Saccharomyces cerevisiae S288C: one gene and its partners. The protein of the gene in region 1 binds, or shares a complex with, the protein of each later gene. Each region holds a gene or a part of one and is shown in the gene's direction. Other genes may lie near its edges. The genes, in order: SWI3, SWI1, SNF6 and SWP82.

Region 1 (4,603 bases):
TTCTTACCTTTATGTACTGTTGCCTCTATATGTCTTCCCTTCATATAATAAATTCCATTTCTAAAAAAATTGTAGTTGTGTTTATAGATGTATAGATAGATAAATGAATGTGTACTTGCTGCCTTAACGCCTTCCGCTAAAAACTTTTTGATATTTATTTTATTTTTAACCTTTCCTGACTTCAACCCTTACTGTAATGATGATAGTAGAAGCCGTCTATTTTTCATACTTTTCTCATGTTGATTTTCCTTGCAGACAAAGACAATCTCTTGGATGGTTTGTACCAACCACCATTATCTGAAGGCATAGATGCAGGAGTAGCGTAGTTTACTCCCGATGATATCGTATAAGACCAGCCAGGAGTTATCGTAGTTGCTTGCTCTGGCAATGACCCAAAGGTAGAGTAATATGTCACAGCACTAGTGGCAAATTTCCTTGTCCATGTGGTAGCGGTCACTTTAGTATTTGGCTGCATTTGCATTGGAGCGAAACGCGACGTACCAGTCTGCTTGGTGTACGGAACAGTAAATGAACGACTGTCAATAGTAGTGGCTTGGGCGTTGTTTGTAGTGGTTGTTTGAATAGAAGTCTGGGGAGTAGGTTCAGTTGTGGCACTATATGTATAAGCCGTAACACCGCCCATGGAAGTCAACTGGAATCTTGGTGTATAATGGATAGTGTAACCTTGACCGTCCACCTGGGCAAAAACTTGAATGTAATATTGACCGTTCCCAGTTAAGGTCGAAGCAAACTCAGCTGTGTAAGAGTAAACTTTATCATCTTGTGTTAGCTCACTTGGAGTAATTTTACTGGCAAGTACGGCCACACAGTCAATGTTGTTATTAGGACCAGTACAAAGACTGAACGTGAAAGTTGAAATCTTGCTTAACGAGGGATATGCCCCATTATCCATCCATTCAACGGGAACAGAGACAGTACCACCACTTGGACTGAATGTTGCCTTGGAGCTGGGGGAAACAATATTCACATCTCCCAGCACAAATGAGACTAAAAACACCAAAGCACATATGATGGAATTTCTTTGTAAACGCATTATCTATAATATGTCACAGTTGCTGATTCTCTGAGAAGGAAGTAAAAAGCGAAAGAGTAGATTCCTAGTAATCAAAACAAAGTGTGAACTGCCACTTTTAGCGCTTCTTGGAACTATCAAACTGGAGCAAATCTGGCTTCAAGAATGCTTTGAGACTCCTGTTCTATTCCTGTATTATCCTTGAAGATCTTTTTCGAGGAAAAAAAAAAAGAAATGTAAATAAAACACCTAATCGTCAAAAGTGATATTATATTGAACCGCCGTGGTTACGATGGAATAATGGTCAATACGCAGTTTAGATGGCATCCAACAATTCAGGATGGCCAATGATGTTATTTTAGTTTGAATTGATTACTTTTGAGCTAGTTTAAATTCGATTTAAGAGCCATTAAGTAGGCATCACGAATAACGAGGCCGGACGTTTGGCGTTTAGGCCATTGGCGAAAAGACGAAAACAAACTATATCAGATACGCAAGAGGAATGTGTAAAGGCCATGCAAGGCGCGATATATTGGTACATCGAGGCGCGTTCAGAGACCAATTGTGATACGGTTTGCAAGCATGGAGAATACACTGGGTGAGGGGTCCACGGTAAACGCTTCCGTGGACGTGGACCAACATGGCAATGACAACAATAGTGATAGCAACGCTAATGCAGCTGTGGCAGGGGTTGCCAATACAGATACTGCTGGTGAAGAATCGCAGCAACAAGATGAGTCTCTGAAGGATGAAGCAACTGTTCCGAACACACGCGATGCAGAAAGTGAGGCGATAACGGTAACGGCAAAGCAGCAGCCGACTATGCAAGCGAATAAGCTAGATTCCCAGGAAACACCTTCTACAGAAGAAAGCAGGGCCCAGAACGTCTTTGGCCAAGATAATGAGGATAGTGATAATCTCTTTGGCGAAACCGAGAGTTCTGTTTCGAACAATGAGGCAAACACTCCTAGTATACCTACGAACCCGGTAGACAATGAAAACAATAAGCCTGCTATTAAGGAAGACAGCACAATACAGGATTCAAATGGTGACGTTAAAAACATGGAGGACGTCAAAATACAAAAAGAGGAAGAACCAGAGAATAACACTGTTATTGAAGGTGTCAAAGAAGAAAGTCAGCCAGATGAGAACACAAAGGAAATGGATGAAGTGGAAGAAGATGATGAGGATGACGATCAACCGATGATTAGTCCTGATAATTCCATTTTTGGAGACACAAAGAGTGAGTCTAAACAACTAGGCAACACTTCGTCGGTTGCTAATACTCCATCTGAAATTCCAGATGCGCATAAAGCTGAACAGGAGGATATCATAGAAAAGACGGAAAGTGTAGATAAGAAGGTAGATAGTGGCGAAGAGAGAAACGAACAGGAACGTGAAATCATGAACGATCACTCCAAAAGTGCCAATCCAAAGAAAACCACTATCACCAGAGTAGAACCCGAAACTTTTGAGATACCGCAAGCACATGAAATTGTTATTCCAAGTTATTCTAAATGGTTCAATCTAGAAAAAATTCATTCCATTGAAGTTCAATCGTTACCTGAATTTTTCACCAATAGGATTCCATCAAAGACACCTGAAGTTTACATGAGATACAGAAACTTCATGGTAAATTCTTACAGGCTGAACCCCAACGAATATTTCAGTGTCACTACGGCGAGGAGAAACGTCTCTGGTGATGCTGCTGCATTATTCAGATTGCATAAATTCTTAACAAAATGGGGGCTAATAAACTATCAGGTTGACTCCAAACTATTACCTAAGAACATCGAACCCCCACTAACGTCTCAATATTCCACAAGGCATGATGCCCCCAGAGGACTATTCCCATTCGAAAGTTACAAACCATCTGTACAACTGCCGGATATGGCAAAGCTTAAAAAAATGATGAACACTAGTGATTCGGAGAGTACTTTATATAAATATTTGAAAGAAAGCAAAAGAAAATATGATGAAATAACTCACCCCCCCAGTACCACTGATGATGAAAATGGTGACAAAAATGATAATGGTGGTAAAATGAACAATGAAGTAAGTACGTCAACAAGCATGACTGGTGATGCCAATCTATTGGAAGAAGGCGAAACTTCACGTCCTCTGAAAAAAGTCAAAATTCTAGAACAAATTGATGAAAATTGGTCAAAAGAAGATTTGCAAAAGCTATTAAAGGGAATACAAGAATTCGGCGCTGACTGGTACAAAGTGGCCAAAAACGTTGGCAATAAGTCGCCTGAACAGTGTATCTTACGTTTCCTTCAATTGCCCATTGAAGATAAATTTTTATACGGTGACGGCAATGGCAAGGGTGATAATGACAACGGGTTAGGACCTTTGAAATATGCTCCTCACTTGCCATTTTCGAAGAGCGAAAACCCCGTTTTATCAACAATAGCATTCTTGGTGGGTTTGGTCAATCCGAAGACTGTACAGTCGATGACCCAGAGAGCCATTCAGTCCGCAGAATCAATAAAATCACAAAAAGAGGAAATCTCTGACCAAAAGCCAATTGAACATATTAAAGAAGGTTCAGAAATTGCCATATCATCATTGGGTTATAGGAGTCATATTTTCGCTACCAACGAGGAAAGGCAAATGAATTTTTTGACTAACGAGCTAATAAGACTTCAAATGGAAAAATTGGACGCTAAATTAAATCATTTAAAGAAACTAGAAAAATTTATGGAGCTAGAAAGGAAAACCCTAGAAAGACAACAGGAAAACTTACTAATTCAGAGATTGAACTTCAACCAAAACTCCAGCAAGATTGTAAACGTTTTAAGCAAATGCTTGAATTTAATATCCGACAGCAATATCAATAATAGTTCAGTGGCGGAGAAGGAGGAAATCAGGTCGCAGATAGACCATTTCAAAAGTATGCTATCGAAACCTGAAACTTTAAGTATTGGAAAGAATCCATTTAACAAACCTAATATTGAAACAGGTGAAAACCATAATGGCCAAAGTATATCTAACGAGAATGATGTCAAACCCATTTCTATTGAAGCACCTCAATTTTACAGGTATTGGTCGGCATAACAATGACACATGGAGATCATTTTTGTTTTTGTTGTAATTATTCTTCATTAGTAACACTTTCTATTTTGTTTCGCTCTATATTTTTGCTTATTTTCTTTCTTCTAGGTTCATTTCTTTAATGGTGCGTCACTTGACTTGGCTTCTCTCTGATTTTTATCCCATTTCTCTAGATTCGACTAGACATGTTATGTACATGTAGATATATATCTATAATTGTGTTATTTTCTATTTTTTCTATTTTTTTTATTTAAAAGAGCCTTTATCAAAAGTTATTTTTCTTGTTCTGTGTTGTTCTTAGTTTGATTTTGATTCTGTGTATTGGCCTAAACAAATTAGTATATAGTAGTATATAAATCAAATATTCACTTTAAAAGATTTTAAAATTAAAAAAGCATTTAAGCAGAGATACGTTTTTGGGCAGCAATTCTACCTCTTTGTCTAGAAGTCAATCTGACAACCTTCTTTTCAGCAGCCTTGGCGACAGCTTCTTCCTTTTCGGTAACAACCAAT
Region 2 (6,366 bases), on another chromosome or scaffold:
AGCCACAATTCGAGGTTCCGTCGGAGCCTGTACAGCCTATTGATTGAATGGCCCTTATAGCTTGTTCTTCCGCTTTCAGCGCCAGCATGGGGCCCAATGTAACGTCTCCTATGGGTTTAATATGAGGGTACTTTAGCAGACTTTGGGTTTGTACGTCAACATTTTCTACAAAATCCCGTTCGTCTAGACCAATGCTGGAAATATCTAAACCTTTTAGCAGGGGACGTCTACCAATAGAAACCATCAAGACGTCGCAATGATGTACATATGTTTTCTTTGACACCTTGTTAAGCAAGGTGATGTTCAGCTGACCGGCAGCATCGGCTTCCGCGAGCTGCACTCTAGTGTCTAAAAGAAAAGCTATACCCTGACACTGCAAGAGGGTCTTCGTGGCAGAAGCCAACTCATTGTCCATATTTTGACAGATCTCGCTTTGAGATTCAACGATAGTAACCCGAGAGCCCAAATTATTGAATATGCATGCGATTTCTAGTCCAATTGTACCTCCTCCCATGATAGTAAAACGTGAAGGTATATAATCCAGTGACAATGCCTTATCAGATGAAATTATCTTGTCATTATCTATTGCAACACCAGGACACTGAATAACCGCAGATCCGGTCGCCACAACAATATATTTCGCCTCTACGATGAACGGTTTCATGCCGCGCTGCGCAATCTCAACGTGGTGAGGATCTTTGAAAGCAGCCGTGCCTTTATACACAGTAACATTATTTTTAGATAGCTCACGTTTATACACATTGCCCAACTCTTCTATATTATGTTTGAGTGCACTCTGGGCCGCCTGCATATCGAATTTTGCAGGAAACAGCCGCGTGCCACGTTGCTCGATAAGTTCTTGCTGTTGTAGCAGCCGATAAAGATAAGACTCATATAACAAGGTCTTGGACGGGACTGCCCCGTCTACAAGGTAGGCGCCCCCCAGCGAGGCACGCTGGTCAACACATGCTGTGAGCAGGCCTGCTTGCGAAGCCTGCATCGCTGCAGTAAAGCCACCAGGCCCGCAACCAATTACCAGGACATCGTAAACTGCCGCAAAATCCTCCATCGTGCTTAATATTTCGTCTTCACCTCCCATTACCAAAAATGCTCACCGTTAATTATATCATACTTCTCTTCTCCTCTCGTAAAATCGTGCGCATGTTAAATAGCCGCCGAAACAGCAGATGCATGCCTGCAGGTCTGGGTGTACCCCCTGCCTGAGTGTTCCACCCAGGCCTCGCCGGAGGAAAATGCCACCGCACTCAAGTTCGCACAGAAACTACCGCATAAATTTATTCTAACCCGGAACTGACGTTTATCGTGATATGAACTTTGGGTATCTCCGATTACGAAACGACGCCACCCCTCCTTCCCCAAAGCACCGAGAAAAGATTTTTTTTAAAACTGAACGCTGATTGACTTTACGTATTATTACCACTATGCATTATTGTTGTTTCTGTTGTGGTTGTTGCCAGTTGTAATCATATTCACATTGCGTTTTAGTCATAACCACCTTCCGGTATTCATCATTCGTATTGAATAACAATATTTATACCGCAAAACACTATACGGCAAGGCAACTGATTACACTTTGTTTACCTTATTTTTTTATTATTTATTTTTCTAGAAAGTATTGTTGTGTGGCTCTATCCTTATTACACCATCTCTGCTTTGGCATTTCGCGTTGTTTCCTCTCACGGATTGCAGATTATTGTTCACCAGGTAATAATCACTGACTGGCGGCTATTTTCCTATTACACTCATTATTCTTAAAATTTTCTTTTTCTATCTCTATTTTCTTTCTTTTCGTGTCTTATAATAATAATAATAATAATAATAATAAAAATAGTAATAATAAAAATAGTAATAAATAAAGATGGATTTCTTTAATTTGAATAATAATAATAATAATAATAATACTACTACTACTACTACTACTACCAATAACAATAATACTAATAATAATAATACTAATAATAATAATAATCCTGCTAATAATACCAATAACAACAATAGCACAGGCCATAGTAGTAATACTAATAACAATACTAATAACAACAATACGAATACCGGAGCCAGTGGTGTAGACGATTTTCAGAATTTTTTCGACCCAAAACCTTTTGACCAGAATTTGGATTCCAACAATAACAACAGTAATAGTAATAACAATGATAACAATAACAGTAACACGGTAGCCTCCAGCACGAACTTTACTTCTCCAACAGCAGTCGTTAATAATGCCGCTCCTGCTAATGTTACCGGTGGAAAAGCTGCTAATTTCATTCAGAACCAGTCTCCCCAATTCAATTCTCCATATGACTCAAACAATTCCAACACAAATTTAAACAGCCTGTCTCCTCAGGCTATTTTAGCCAAGAATTCAATCATTGATTCTTCCAATTTACCTCTTCAAGCTCAACAACAGCTATATGGCGGTAACAATAATAATAATAGCACCGGAATTGCGAACGATAATGTAATAACACCCCATTTTATCACCAATGTTCAATCCATCAGTCAAAATTCCTCATCTTCTACTCCGAACACAAACTCTAACTCTACTCCGAATGCAAATCAACAATTTTTGCCATTCAATAACAGTGCTTCCAATAATGGTAATTTGACGTCTAACCAGCTTATTTCTAATTACGCTGCTTCAAATTCAATGGACAGATCATCCTCTGCAAGCAATGAATTTGTTCCGAACACAAGTGACAACAACAACAACAGTAATAACCATAATATGCGTAATAACAGCAATAATAAAACGAGCAATAACAATAATGTCACTGCCGTGCCTGCTGCAACTCCCGCTAATACCAATAATTCAACTTCAAACGCAAATACAGTGTTCTCTGAAAGAGCTGCAATGTTTGCCGCTTTGCAGCAAAAGCAGCAGCAACGTTTTCAGGCTCTACAGCAGCAGCAGCAGCAGCAACAAAATCAACAACAGCAAAATCAACAACCACAACAGCAACAACAGCAACAACAGAATCCCAAATTTTTGCAGAGTCAACGGCAGCAACAACAAAGATCTATTTTACAAAGTCTGAACCCGGCATTACAAGAGAAAATATCTACTGAATTGAATAACAAACAATATGAACTTTTTATGAAATCTTTGATTGAAAACTGTAAAAAAAGAAATATGCCGTTACAATCAATACCAGAAATCGGCAACAGAAAAATAAATCTTTTTTATCTTTATATGTTGGTTCAAAAATTCGGTGGTGCAGATCAAGTAACAAGGACCCAACAGTGGTCTATGGTGGCCCAAAGGCTGCAAATTTCCGATTACCAACAATTAGAATCAATCTATTTTAGAATTTTATTACCTTACGAAAGACACATGATTTCCCAAGAAGGTATAAAGGAAACTCAAGCGAAAAGAATATTCTTGCAACAGTTCTTACAAGAACTATTGAAGAAAGTTCAACAACAGCAGCAGGCCGCTGCATTGGCCAATGCCAACAATAACATTAATAGTGCATCGTCAGCACCAACCCCCGCGGCTCCTGGCGCGTCCGTTCCTGCTACAGCAGCACCAGGAACAGAAGCAGGGATCGTTCCGGTTTCAGCAAACACTCCAAAAAGCTTGAATAGCAATATTAATATCAACGTAAATAATAACAATATTGGCCAACAGCAAGTTAAGAAGCCAAGAAAGCAAAGAGTGAAAAAAAAGACCAAAAAGGAATTGGAACTAGAACGTAAAGAAAGGGAGGATTTTCAGAAACGACAACAAAAACTTTTAGAGGATCAACAAAGGCAACAGAAATTGCTATTAGAGACAAAATTACGTCAACAATATGAAATCGAACTAAAAAAATTGCCTAAAGTCTACAAGAGATCAATTGTTAGGAACTACAAACCCCTAATCAACCGCCTCAAGCATTACAATGGTTACGATATCAATTACATCTCTAAAATAGGAGAGAAAATAGATTCCAACAAGCCAATTTTTCTCTTCGCGCCAGAGTTAGGTGCAATTAATTTACATGCTTTATCAATGTCCCTCCAATCGAAGAATCTTGGAGAAATAAACACCGCCTTGAACACCTTGTTGGTCACAAGCGCTGACTCGAACTTAAAAATATCTCTGGTCAAATACCCTGAATTATTAGACTCCTTGGCAATACTCGGCATGAATTTACTGTCAAATTTGTCACAAAATGTTGTTCCATACCATCGAAACACTTCTGACTATTATTATGAGGATGCTGGATCAAATCAATACTATGTTACCCAACACGATAAAATGGTTGATAAAATTTTTGAAAAGGTAAACAACAACGCTACACTTACACCGAATGATTCTAACGATGAAAAAGTCACTATCCTGGTAGATTCTTTAACAGGTAATCAATTGCCCACCCCTACTCCTACTGAAATGGAGCCTGATCTCGACACTGAATGTTTTATAAGTATGCAGTCGACATCTCCCGCAGTTAAACAGTGGGACTTATTGCCTGAACCAATAAGATTCCTCCCTAACCAATTTCCTTTGAAAATTCACAGAACTCCTTATTTGACTTCTTTGAAAAAAATCAAGGATGAAATTGATGATCCATTTACAAAAATAAATACCAGAGGGGCAGAGGATCCCAAAGTTCTGATTAACGATCAACTGTCTACCATCTCGATGATTTTGAGGAATATTTCATTCTCCGATAACAACTCCAGAATCATGTCGAGAAATTTTTACCTAAAGAGATTTATATCTGATCTACTTTGGTTAGTCTTAATCCATCCAGAAAACTTTACATGCAATAGGAAAATACTAAATTTCAAGAAGGATTTGGTTATTGTTTTATCAAATATTTCTCATTTATTAGAGATCGCTTCGTCCATTGATTGCTTGTTAATTCTTATTCTAGTCATAAGTTTTGGTCAACCAAAACTCAATCCAATGGCGTCTTCGTCATCATTTGGCTCTGAATCTTTGACCTTCAACGAATTCCAGTTGCAATGGGGAAAATATCAAACTTTCGGTGTAGATATTTTGGCCAAATTATTTTCATTGGAAAAACCGAACCTAAATTATTTCAAATCAATCCTTCTGAACAAAAACACAGGTAACAACCTCTATGATCGCAACAGTAACAACAACCACAAGGACAAAAAGTTGTTACGAAGACTTTTGAATTTATACAATGATAACAATAAAAATAATAACAATAGGCACAACTTGCTAAATGATGTGGTTTCGTTTTTATTTTCTGCCATACCGCTGCAGCAAGTGTTATCGCAATCAGCTGATCCAAGTTTGCTGATCGACCAATTTTCTCCGGTAATTTCTCAGAGTCTAACTAGCATCTTAGTCATTGTACAAAAAATATTGCCGTTATCCAATGAAGTATTTGAAATCAGTGAGAATAATTCAGACAGTAACAGTAACAATAACGGCAACAAAGATTCTAGCTTCAATTTCAACAAGAATTTACCATTTGTGTGGTTGAGCTCTGAAGAAAATATTGGATCTGGACTATTGAAGTTAAGTGAGATAATATTGAATATTAACAATTCCACAAGTAAGAATACTTTGTTACAGCAACAAAATTATTCAAAGGTGCTCCTACCGTCAATTAACATATCCTGTGTTCAGTTAATCAAATGTTTGGTTGAAAAAAGTATTTGTTTTGAAAACTGCCTAAACAACGACCCGGAAATATTAAAAAAAATAGCATCGATTCCAAATTTGTTCCCCACGGATTTAGAAATTTTCCAGTTATTCACTAATCCATCAGTTGATATTCAAATAATAAACCAGTATCAATTACTTTACAATTTAAAAAATGATATCCTAACCAATTTGGAATGATGCGATTTTTTTAAACAATATTCTTTTACTGCTTATTTCTTCCTTGCGCACTATTTTCTTTTTATAAACCTATATAAAATGTTGTAACTAATATAATAGACCTTATGGAAACAATACAGTCGGAAGAGCGCCTTTAGTGCCAAAAGCCCAAATGAACGTATAGCTGCCATGAAGTCACATCTTGGGCGGCTCAACTAAACAATGGTTTTAGTAACTTCCCACTGGTCCCGTCGCGGCTACAAAAATTCCTTGAAATTGTATAAAGGAGTTTATGACTCCATTTCAGGCAGTAAATACAATTCATACACACCACACATACATTCAGAGTTAACGTTCGCTATAATAAAACGGTAGAGAGTCAGATGTGGAGTCAGCGTGGGGGGTGGGGTAACACTCCACCTTTGAAAACGGTGTGACTTCGCCCTTTCGATGGGAGGAGGTAAAGCTCAAATAGGACAGAATCATCCAAGAAAATTTCAAGCTGCCCACAAAGTCAAGATCGCTTCAGAAGCTGTTCGGCGCAGTATTGAGATGAATTGGCT
Region 3 (3,457 bases), on another chromosome or scaffold:
TTAGAAAAATTGAGTTTACAAAACCAAATGGGAACTAACTCAGTTCGCATCTTGACCAAGTATCCCAAAATTTTGGTATGATATGGATTGTCGGATATTTTATTCTTAGTTGTTTCTTTGCGGCTGTATAGTAAATGAATAAATCACACATGCCCTAGCGCGGCGTCGCGGATTAAACAAGGTAACAATGGTTAAAGGAAAAATTATTTGTTAAGGTGGGTATATTATAGATTGCTAATTGTAAAGTATTAATAGTTTATTAAGTATTAAACTAGAGTTCGCACATGCTTTTATTTTTTTGTTGCTTTTCTTCACGCTACCGCTTCTTGAGACTGTTGTTTGGTAGTACTGATATCTTGATCGGTTGATCCCGAGCTGCGATTACCCGTGGAGCAAACTTCTTGATCCTGCTGTAGCGTACCGTTTGCTAAGCCTTCATAGTAAAGTTCCTCGTGAAACTGGTTTCTCAACACAATGACGATGATGGCCACTGGAGTGCATACAAAGGCAATTACAACGGCATAAATCAACTTCATGACCTGCGGTAGTGGATAATCGTTGAAGTAGTAGTCGTGGGACCCGACCTTATGGCCTATACCAGCAAGGATACCCATAGTGACTGGCCAAATGACAATGAACATGGCAATGGCTAGGATCATAGATCTGATGAATTTCTGCACAAACCATTCTATAAAGTTCATGAATTTGGACTGAGTAGAATCATGAATGAACTGAGATGTGAGAAAACCTTTCAACGTAGCTTCTTTACCTTTGGGAATGATTCCTCTATTGACCTCTAAATAGCCAAAGAGCCAATTATGCTTATGATACAGAGTGTTCTGCTTCGCAACGACGTTGTCTTTGGATTCGAAGTAATCCACAATGAAACGCTTTTTAGGGGGTGGTATTTCTTCGTTAGATTCGGTTTTCAGTGGTGACGGTTTCGTAATCCATTTATTCAATCTGAAAACAGGCCTCTTGTAGTCATCGAATCCAACTAAAATTTCCTCGCTAGCCCATGTAAGACCCACCTGGATGAATAAACTTAGTGCACAATCGCCTGAAATGGTGTGAGGAAATGCCCATAAGGTGATAAGATCTACACGGGAATGGTACATGGCATATGCGATGGCAAACTCGATGCCGCCCGAGATTATTGCAGAACCTAGCGCTTGGATGACGAAAAGGTAGAAGATGATGAACCAGATGGAATTTCTGAACCCGGTCGGGGTCGCTGGCGCTGGCTCTGAGGATTTCATATATGTGAAGAGCGTCTATTTTCAAGGGTGTTGATGCATATATATCCGTATATATGTGTGCCGGTGGAAGGTTATAACATCTTGAAGAAAGAAAGAGGAGAAATTGGTTTTAGATCAAGGACAGATAAACTATATCTTTCAAAAGCCGATGCAAATCGTATACAGCAAATATCAATGAAGGAATGCGATGGAGGTGATGCTAGTGTGGACTGCACTATTTTTTTTTCCTGTTTTTTTCCACTTTTGTGTAGGAAGAGTATTGAATCAGGAAAGCGGGAAAAACCGCAAAGAAAAAAGTAAACTTATCCGTGAAAATCAATTACATTACCGAAAATGGCAAGATCCAAACAAGAAAAGTAAGTAAACGAATGCGAATACTGGAACAAGCAGGGCATAAAGAGGCACATGCGTCGTTTGTAGCCGACGTGCTTCATTTATCAGGTTAGTTGGCAGCGGCTGGACCATACAGGTTCTCACAATGTGTTGGTCTACGTTCGGTCATGCACCACGGTTGTTCCGTCAAACGGTCAGAAAACACACGCGGAAAATCCAAAGGAAAAGATGGGAGAGAAAAAACATGAAGTTGAGAAGCAACGAAACAAGGTTTGATCCAGAAAGGGGAGGCTAAAGGCGAAAAAGGCGAAAGAAAAGCGTTTAAGAGAATTTTACAAACGTAGTAAAATAATGGGTGTCATCAAGAAGAAAAGATCGCACCATGGAAAGGCTTCGCGCCAACAATACTACTCTGGGGTACAGGTTGGGGGAGTAGGCAGCATGGGCGCCATAAACAATAACATCCCGTCGTTGACGAGCTTCGCGGAGGAAAACAACTATCAGTACGGATACAGCGGCTCCAGTGCCGGCATGAATGGCAGATCGCTTACGTACGCGCAGCAACAGCTTAATAAGCAAAGACAGGACTTCGAACGTGTACGACTTAGACCAGAACAGCTCAGCAATATCATACATGACGAGAGCGACACGATATCGTTCCGATCCAACCTTTTGAAGAACTTTATAAGCTCGAACGACGCATTTAACATGCTGAGTTTGACCACGGTACCGTGCGACAGAATTGAGAAGTCCAGATTGTTCAGTGAAAAAACAATAAGATATCTCATGCAAAAACAACACGAAATGAAAACACAAGCGGCAGAGTTGCAAGAAAAGCCTCTGACGCCACTTAAATACACAAAACTTATAGCTGCGGCAGAGGACGGAAGCCGTAGCACAAAGGATATGATAGATGCTGTCTTCGAGCAAGATAGTCATTTGAGGTACCAGCCGGACGGCGTGGTCGTACATCGTGACGATCCTGCGCTGGTGGGTAAACTCCGCGGAGATCTCCGCGAAGCGCCGGCGGACTACTGGACGCATGCTTATAGGGATGTTTTGGCGCAATACCACGAGGCCAAGGAGCGTATCAGGCAGAAGGAAGTAACTGCAGGTGAAGCACAGGACGAAGCCAGCTTGCAGCAGCAACAGCAGCAAGATTTGCAGCAACAGCAACAAGTAGTGACTACAGTTGCCTCGCAAAGTCCTCATGCAACTGCAACGGAAAAGGAGCCAGTACCCGCCGTGGTTGACGACCCACTGGAGAACATGTTCGGAGATTATTCCAATGAGCCGTTCAACACCAATTTCGACGATGAATTTGGAGATCTTGATGCTGTATTTTTTTAATAGCCATGGGCGGCTACTTCTTGGAAATATATACTTTCCTTTTACATATTTAGTATAGTTATACATGTGGATGTGTATGGAGGTAAGATCAGATAGACCCTTCACTGTTTTCTGTGTATTCCTTGTGACATAGTGGATTTGTGCAGCTACTGCTTATAGGAAGCAGTGCCTGCAAAACAATTCATTCGTTGGTTGATGTGGCGCGCTGACTGAATGTGTAGGGTCTGTTGTTACCCCCTTGCTCCGGGGGCCCACATCTCTCTGACGCGAAGAAAGGCTCGAGATGTGCCAGTCGTAAACACCGCCTCATTTCCCTTGCATTCTCCTCCAGTGAAAAAGCAGTACGACCTATCTCCGAAAAAAAAAAACCTCCTGTGCGTTTACTGTGGATCATGCAACACGATTTCTGTAGATTAAAGACGTTTTTGGCATGGACTAAGCTAAATTCCGTTTGATTAGCCGCCCATAACGGGTGGCAAACAACACGATGAAACTCTATATCCCCGCTTAACGTT
Region 4 (4,414 bases), on another chromosome or scaffold:
ATCTCATTAACGCTGCAATTTTTTTCAAGAGTCCGTGAAATTTCAGGTGTATATTTCAGAGCTGCTGAGGATCCTGAAGTGGAAGCAGAGTTAGTAAATCCAGTATCTTGGTCGGTATGATTGTATGTTCGTTCACTGTGCCTTTGATGGTTCGCCAAAGACAGATTTCTTTCAGCATTTGAAATCTGGGCATATTCTTCCAACTCATCAAAATCAACACCATTAACTCTTGTATGTAATAGTCGAAACATTGGAAAACAAACGTCTTCTTCTGTTTCTTGAGAATCCCTGGATGCTTGCGATATCTCACTATGGAAAGATACCCTGCTATCCATACGTAACGGTTTAATTCTTCGTGTGTCATTTCCCATATCGGACTTTTGCGATGCAGTTCTTGTCAACAACGTTGTAGGATTGACTGATGAATGTGTCGATATTGTAGAATAGGTTCTTCTCTTAAGTTTCGCCTGTTTGGGATGCGTACCATGCTCTGATTCAGCCGATGTTTCAAAGATTGCGCTAACTAGCGAAGCCTTACGAGCGCTTGTAAAAGTTCTTGCCGAGGAGGAGGCTTCTAAGTTGCATCTGTTACTTGACGTACCGGCAGGTAACGCCGTATCATGGCCTCTCTCTAAAGCCGCATTCTTTGGCAAAGAGGGAGCGATGCTCTCTACATGAATCTGCTTTTGGTGAGTTTCAGACTTTGCTAGCCTGGATGGCCTCGCATTAGAACTTAAAAGCGCGAAAGATCTTAACTGGTAACGTTTCACTGCTTCTGCTTCTGCTTCACCTTCAAAATCCATGCGGCCACTTGTGGATATATTCGTTTTCTCCACATAGCCTCCATTTTCCACTCCACTATTCTCCCCGTTAGAGGAACTAAATTTGTGTCTAGAATCTTTCGTTTCGTCCACTTTCAATGCAAGCGCTTCGTGACGTATTGGTTGTGCATCAGAATACTGCCTATAGTTCTCTAATTTTGGGTACTTGCCTGTCTTCATGGAAGCCGCCGTATTGTCAACGGATTTTGACCTTGGTAAATCTGACGATGAATCAAATGAAGTGGATAAGGACGACATTACGAAGTTTTTTCACGTTTTCTCATAAAAATTCAGTACTTCTATAAAGGTGATTAAAATATATTCCTGTCGATTTTTTTATCCAACTGACAGTACATTTCCATGTAAGTAATTGTTTAGCAATAGTAGTCTCTACCGTCCTTGCTGAACATTGAATAGAGGAAATAAACGCTGTTGATTTTACCTTTCCACTTTTATAATATAAACCTCTACGTTAAAATATCATATGCTCGAGGAAAACCTGATTTCTCTGGAAGCAGCCACTTTCGTGAACAGCCAAACCAAATGCTGCATTTTTCGAAGAAAATTTTTATCTCAAGGAGTCGCTTTTGTAACTTATAGCCGGTCAGGCAGTAAAAACGTACCTGAAAGAATAGTTTGATAGTAGGATATGGACAACGGTTAGTTTTGTCTGTACTTCTTGTATACAGGGCCTCTGTCAAATGAATGTGCGTATAAATTAATGGAGGTCTTGCATAGTTTGTTGAAACTTGGAAGAACTGTCAACCTTCACATATATGATATCCACGGTCTAAGCACGAAGGGCACTTCTTGTTTCTCACATTTAGGCAACTACGATGTGGGAAGTACAGCTCAGTTACGGAATCTAGCACGTAGGAAGAATAAGCGATAAGTGTTCCCTTCAACACATCCATAAAGGAGTTTAGCAGCTGATATATTTGTCGTATCTAAAAAAATTTTCAGAGTATTATGACCTCGTCAAGTACAACGGAAATATATCCTGACATGGAAAGATTAGCCGTTCAGAAAGTGGCCCTGTGCATTAAATATAGTTGTAGTTTCAGCCGTCTATATTTTTTTTTCGAACCATCACTTTTCCCTTTCTGGACTTTTCTCAATGTAAAAACAAGAAAAACATGGAATGTATAATACTATAAATAAAAAAAGTAGGAAGAAGAACCAAAACAAAGGGCGTTTTAAAGAGAGACGAATATGCTTGGCGAAGATGAAGGGAATACCGTTCTTGAAAAGGGAAATAATCCTTCTGTAAAACAAGGAGAGGTTGGAGCTGTATTTATAGTACCCAAAATACTTATCAGAGAACATGAAAGAGTGATACTTAAGCAAATTCTGCAAATCCTGGATCAAGATGAATTGGTTCAACCTCCCTTAGACAAATTTCCCTACAAAAAATTAGAATTACCGAAATATATAGATGAACTTAAGACGAGAGACGCTACTAATACATCCTACAAGATGATACAATTGGATGCTTATGGTGAGAAAAAAGTGGGTTCGAACGGTGAATTATTTGGCGGTAGACATTATTTGTTCAACACCTTCACATTCACGGCTCATATGGGTGTTCTTCTGGTACTTTTACAAGATGTCATTAAAGTGTTATACCAAAGCAACGCAACGCATGACGAGGACGAGTTTATTGTCCAGCATGATCAAATTCTGGTAATGGAAACTTCTGAGGAACAAACAAAATTTTTGGCCAAAAATGGTGTCATTCCTGAAGAATCCAAAGGATCTTTTAAGTATATAACTGCCAGGTCAGCCTTTGTTGAATTCGGTGCTTCTGTTATTGCCGGTGGTCAACGCATCGTTGATGATTATTGGGAATCTTTAGCTAAAAAGCAAAATTTGTCGTCTCACCAAAGGGTTTTCAAATTATCAACAAATTTAATTTCTAAAATCTCACTTTTACGCCCCTCCTTCCAAAATAACAGGATTAGCAATGCCAATGAAATTAGTGCGAACACTAATAATACCTGTACGATTTCTACTTCAAAATTCGAATCACAGTATCCAATAGTCACGGAACAACCGTCAGCGGAGATTAGAGAAGCCTATATTGAAAACTTTGCCAAAGGTGAGCACATTTCGGCAATTGTTCCTGGTCAAAGCATTAGTGGAACATTGGAACTCAGTGCACAATTTAGAGTACCGCGTTATCACAGCAAAAACTCATTTCAACAAGCTCTGCAAATGAAGGCAATGGACATACCAATCGGAAGACATGAAGAATTACTTGCGCAATATGAAAGTCAAGCTCCTGATGGTTCCGCTTCAATTTCACTTCCTAACCATATTCCATCTGTCAATCCTAGCAATAAACCAATCAAACGAATGCTAAGTAGCATTCTTGATATTAACGTTTCCTCATCAAAAAACAAGAAGTCTGAGGAGAACGAAATGATAAAACCCATGAACAAGGGCCAACACAAAAATAATACATCGTTAAACATAAACGGCTGGAAATTTGAATCTTTGCCATTAAAATCCGCCGAGAATTCAGGTAAACAGCAATATTATAGAGGATTGCCGTTATATGAAAAAAACACGCTGCTAGAAAGGTTGAAACAGCTGACACCGAACGAAATTAAAGAACTAGAGCATTTACACGATGCCGTTTTTGTTAATACCGGTTTGCAGAACGTTAGAAAAGTTAGGACAAAAAAATGGAAAAAGTACTGGCAGTACAAGGCAGGTATTCCTATCGGTTTGAAACGGTCTCAATTGGATGAATTCAAAAATAAATATTTGAAAGATGTGTTGGCGCAAACGAGTGTTACTACAAATTTTAACGAAATAACGAATACGGATGAAACAATAACAACAAAGAGGGTACCGAACCCAAACTTCCTAGGAAATTGTAACATTAAGGATTTTAAACCTCCATACATTTATTCTCATGTGAACAAAGTACCACAAAATGTCGCTGGGGATAAAACGGCTGTTAAGCTGGACACTGAAGTAAAGAACACAAATGCTAATCCAGTGGTGGCGACGGATCCGGTCGCCGCTAAACCGGACAACCTGGCTAACTTCAGCAACGAAGTAGCTATGAATAATTGAAAGAAGTAAAACATAATGTAGGGAACACTCCAATAAGAAATAAACCATTGTTGAAGTAGTAATATAAACTATCGTTCGTTATTTTATAAAATATGTATTGTTACATATATATACATATATAGGGAATGCATGTGCACAATTGGTTTGAGTGGAAGGAATAATCCAAAATCATAGCAGTTTGGTCTTTATGATCTCTTGTCTGATTCTGAATGTGTAATATGCCATAACCAACATAATGAAAATTAATGGAAGTAACCAAATCATTAGTTTTCTGGCAATTTCGTCGACCTGAGGACCATCTTGTCCATGACGTTTGGTAGCTTCCCTATACTTTTCTTGTTCAACCAGGACTTTCTCCAATTTCTGATTGATTGATAAGAAGTCTTTGAAATTTTCTTTATCCTCAGCGATTGCATCATCGGTGGACGTTCCCTTTTCATTATTAGCTGGTGGCTTAGAAGAGAGCTGTTTAGTTATCGTAGTCATGAATGATAATAGCTCTTGTTGGA

Evidence for each region.
Region 2: the proteins of SWI3 (region 1) and SWI1 are in contact, whole or in part, in a cryo-EM structure (PDB 7C4J), measured with the Saccharomyces cerevisiae proteins. Residues at the interface, in NP_012359.1 of Saccharomyces cerevisiae: Tyr310 (codon at 2,543), Ile322 (codon at 2,579), Gln325 (codon at 2,588), Ser326 (codon at 2,591), Leu327 (codon at 2,594), Pro328 (codon at 2,597), Arg380 (codon at 2,753), Lys383 (codon at 2,762), Phe384 (codon at 2,765), Lys387 (codon at 2,774), Trp388 (codon at 2,777), Pro419 (codon at 2,870), Arg420 (codon at 2,873), Gly421 (codon at 2,876), Leu422 (codon at 2,879), Phe425 (codon at 2,888), Leu598 (codon at 3,407), Pro599 (codon at 3,410), Phe600 (codon at 3,413), Ser601 (codon at 3,416), Glu604 (codon at 3,425), Asn605 (codon at 3,428), Lys702 (codon at 3,719), Glu705 (codon at 3,728), Lys706 (codon at 3,731), Glu709 (codon at 3,740), Leu710 (codon at 3,743), Lys713 (codon at 3,752), Glu716 (codon at 3,761), Arg717 (codon at 3,764); in NP_015309.1 of Saccharomyces cerevisiae: Arg670 (codon at 3,887), Leu671 (codon at 3,890), Lys672 (codon at 3,893), His673 (codon at 3,896), Tyr674 (codon at 3,899), Asn675 (codon at 3,902), Gly676 (codon at 3,905), Tyr677 (codon at 3,908), Pro694 (codon at 3,959), Phe696 (codon at 3,965), Leu697 (codon at 3,968), Glu701 (codon at 3,980), Leu702 (codon at 3,983), Gly703 (codon at 3,986), Gly720 (codon at 4,037), Glu721 (codon at 4,040), Thr724 (codon at 4,049), His792 (codon at 4,253), Asp793 (codon at 4,256), Met795 (codon at 4,262), Val796 (codon at 4,265), Asp797 (codon at 4,268), Ile799 (codon at 4,274), Phe800 (codon at 4,277), Val803 (codon at 4,286), Asn804 (codon at 4,289), Glu1197 (codon at 5,468), Lys1267 (codon at 5,678), Ala1270 (codon at 5,687), Ser1271 (codon at 5,690).
Region 3: the proteins of SWI3 (region 1) and SNF6 are in contact, whole or in part, in a cryo-EM structure (PDB 7C4J), measured with the Saccharomyces cerevisiae proteins. Residues at the interface, in NP_012359.1 of Saccharomyces cerevisiae: Ala544 (codon at 3,245), Phe613 (codon at 3,452), Leu617 (codon at 3,464), Val618 (codon at 3,467), Asn619 (codon at 3,470), Leu664 (codon at 3,605), Arg667 (codon at 3,614), Ser668 (codon at 3,617), Ile670 (codon at 3,623), Phe671 (codon at 3,626), Asn674 (codon at 3,635), Arg677 (codon at 3,644), Asn680 (codon at 3,653), Phe681 (codon at 3,656), Asn684 (codon at 3,665), Glu685 (codon at 3,668), Arg688 (codon at 3,677), Met691 (codon at 3,686), Glu692 (codon at 3,689), Asp695 (codon at 3,698), Arg712 (codon at 3,749), Leu715 (codon at 3,758), Glu716 (codon at 3,761), Gln719 (codon at 3,770), Glu720 (codon at 3,773), Leu722 (codon at 3,779), Leu723 (codon at 3,782), Arg726 (codon at 3,791), Leu727 (codon at 3,794), Asn730 (codon at 3,803); in NP_011838.1 of Saccharomyces cerevisiae: Met120 (codon at 2,301), Leu121 (codon at 2,304), Ser122 (codon at 2,307), Thr124 (codon at 2,313), Thr125 (codon at 2,316), Val126 (codon at 2,319), Pro127 (codon at 2,322), Cys128 (codon at 2,325), Asp129 (codon at 2,328), Ile131 (codon at 2,334), Lys133 (codon at 2,340), Ser134 (codon at 2,343), Arg135 (codon at 2,346), Leu136 (codon at 2,349), Phe137 (codon at 2,352), Ser138 (codon at 2,355), Lys140 (codon at 2,361), Thr141 (codon at 2,364), Tyr144 (codon at 2,373), Lys148 (codon at 2,385), Thr165 (codon at 2,436), Pro166 (codon at 2,439), Leu167 (codon at 2,442), Lys168 (codon at 2,445), Tyr169 (codon at 2,448), Thr170 (codon at 2,451), Leu172 (codon at 2,457), Ile173 (codon at 2,460), Ala176 (codon at 2,469), Glu177 (codon at 2,472).
Region 4: the proteins of SWI3 (region 1) and SWP82 are in contact, whole or in part, in a cryo-EM structure (PDB 7EGM), measured with the Saccharomyces cerevisiae proteins. Residues at the interface, in NP_012359.1 of Saccharomyces cerevisiae: Ile299 (codon at 2,510), Pro300 (codon at 2,513), Gln301 (codon at 2,516), His303 (codon at 2,522), Arg345 (codon at 2,648), Asn348 (codon at 2,657), Phe349 (codon at 2,660), Asn352 (codon at 2,669), Ser353 (codon at 2,672), Leu356 (codon at 2,681), Asn357 (codon at 2,684), Asn359 (codon at 2,690), Glu360 (codon at 2,693), Tyr361 (codon at 2,696), Phe362 (codon at 2,699), Ser363 (codon at 2,702), Thr365 (codon at 2,708), Thr366 (codon at 2,711), Arg369 (codon at 2,720), Asn370 (codon at 2,723), Leu399 (codon at 2,810), Pro401 (codon at 2,816), Lys402 (codon at 2,819), Ile404 (codon at 2,825), Glu405 (codon at 2,828), Pro406 (codon at 2,831), Pro407 (codon at 2,834), Arg415 (codon at 2,858), His416 (codon at 2,861), Asp417 (codon at 2,864); in NP_116605.1 of Saccharomyces cerevisiae: Leu240 (codon at 2,751), Arg241 (codon at 2,754), Pro242 (codon at 2,757), Ser243 (codon at 2,760), Phe318 (codon at 2,985), Val320 (codon at 2,991), Tyr442 (codon at 3,357), Gly445 (codon at 3,366), Leu446 (codon at 3,369), Pro447 (codon at 3,372), Leu448 (codon at 3,375), Tyr449 (codon at 3,378), Glu450 (codon at 3,381), Thr453 (codon at 3,390), Glu456 (codon at 3,399), Arg457 (codon at 3,402), Glu468 (codon at 3,435), His471 (codon at 3,444), Leu472 (codon at 3,447), His473 (codon at 3,450), Asp474 (codon at 3,453), Ala475 (codon at 3,456), Val476 (codon at 3,459), Val478 (codon at 3,465), Asn479 (codon at 3,468), Thr480 (codon at 3,471), Leu482 (codon at 3,477), Gln483 (codon at 3,480), Arg486 (codon at 3,489), Lys487 (codon at 3,492).

The regions. Positions count from the first base shown.
Region 1 is NC_001142.9:91,543-96,145, reverse strand, and holds SWI3 (Swi3p), read left to right. Parts: upstream 1-1,615; coding exon 1,616-4,093; downstream 4,094-4,603. Other genes in the region: KRE9 (Kre9p), read right to left, coding at 224-1,054; 60S ribosomal protein uL22 RPL17B, read right to left, coding at 4,489-4,603. UniProt on the Saccharomyces cerevisiae protein: Involved in transcriptional activation. Component of the SWI/SNF complex, an ATP-dependent chromatin-remodeling complex, which is required for the positive and negative regulation of gene expression of a large number of genes.
Region 2 is NC_001148.4:519,135-525,500, forward strand, and holds SWI1 (Swi1p), read left to right. Parts: upstream 1-1,879; coding exon 1,880-5,824; downstream 5,825-6,366. Other genes in the region: IRC15 (Irc15p), read right to left, coding at 1-1,099. UniProt on the Saccharomyces cerevisiae protein: Involved in transcriptional activation. Component of the SWI/SNF complex, an ATP-dependent chromatin remodeling complex, which is required for the positive and negative regulation of gene expression of a large number of genes.
Region 3 is NC_001140.6:52,908-56,364, forward strand, and holds SNF6 (Snf6p), read left to right. Parts: upstream 1-1,943; coding exon 1,944-2,942; downstream 2,943-3,457. Other genes in the region: alkaline-responsive transcriptional regulator RIM101, read left to right, coding at 1-81; YHL026C (uncharacterized protein), read right to left, coding at 312-1,259. UniProt on the Saccharomyces cerevisiae protein: Involved in transcriptional activation. Component of the SWI/SNF complex, an ATP-dependent chromatin remodeling complex, which is required for the positive and negative regulation of gene expression of a large number of genes.
Region 4 is NC_001138.5:34,770-39,183, forward strand, and holds SWP82 (Swp82p), read left to right. Parts: upstream 1-2,033; coding exon 2,034-3,905; downstream 3,906-4,414. Other genes in the region: putative Mg(2+) transporter ALR2, read right to left, coding at 1-1,079; EMP47 (Emp47p), read right to left, coding at 4,074-4,414. UniProt on the Saccharomyces cerevisiae protein: Involved in transcriptional activation. Component of the SWI/SNF complex, an ATP-dependent chromatin remodeling complex, which is required for the positive and negative regulation of gene expression of a large number of genes.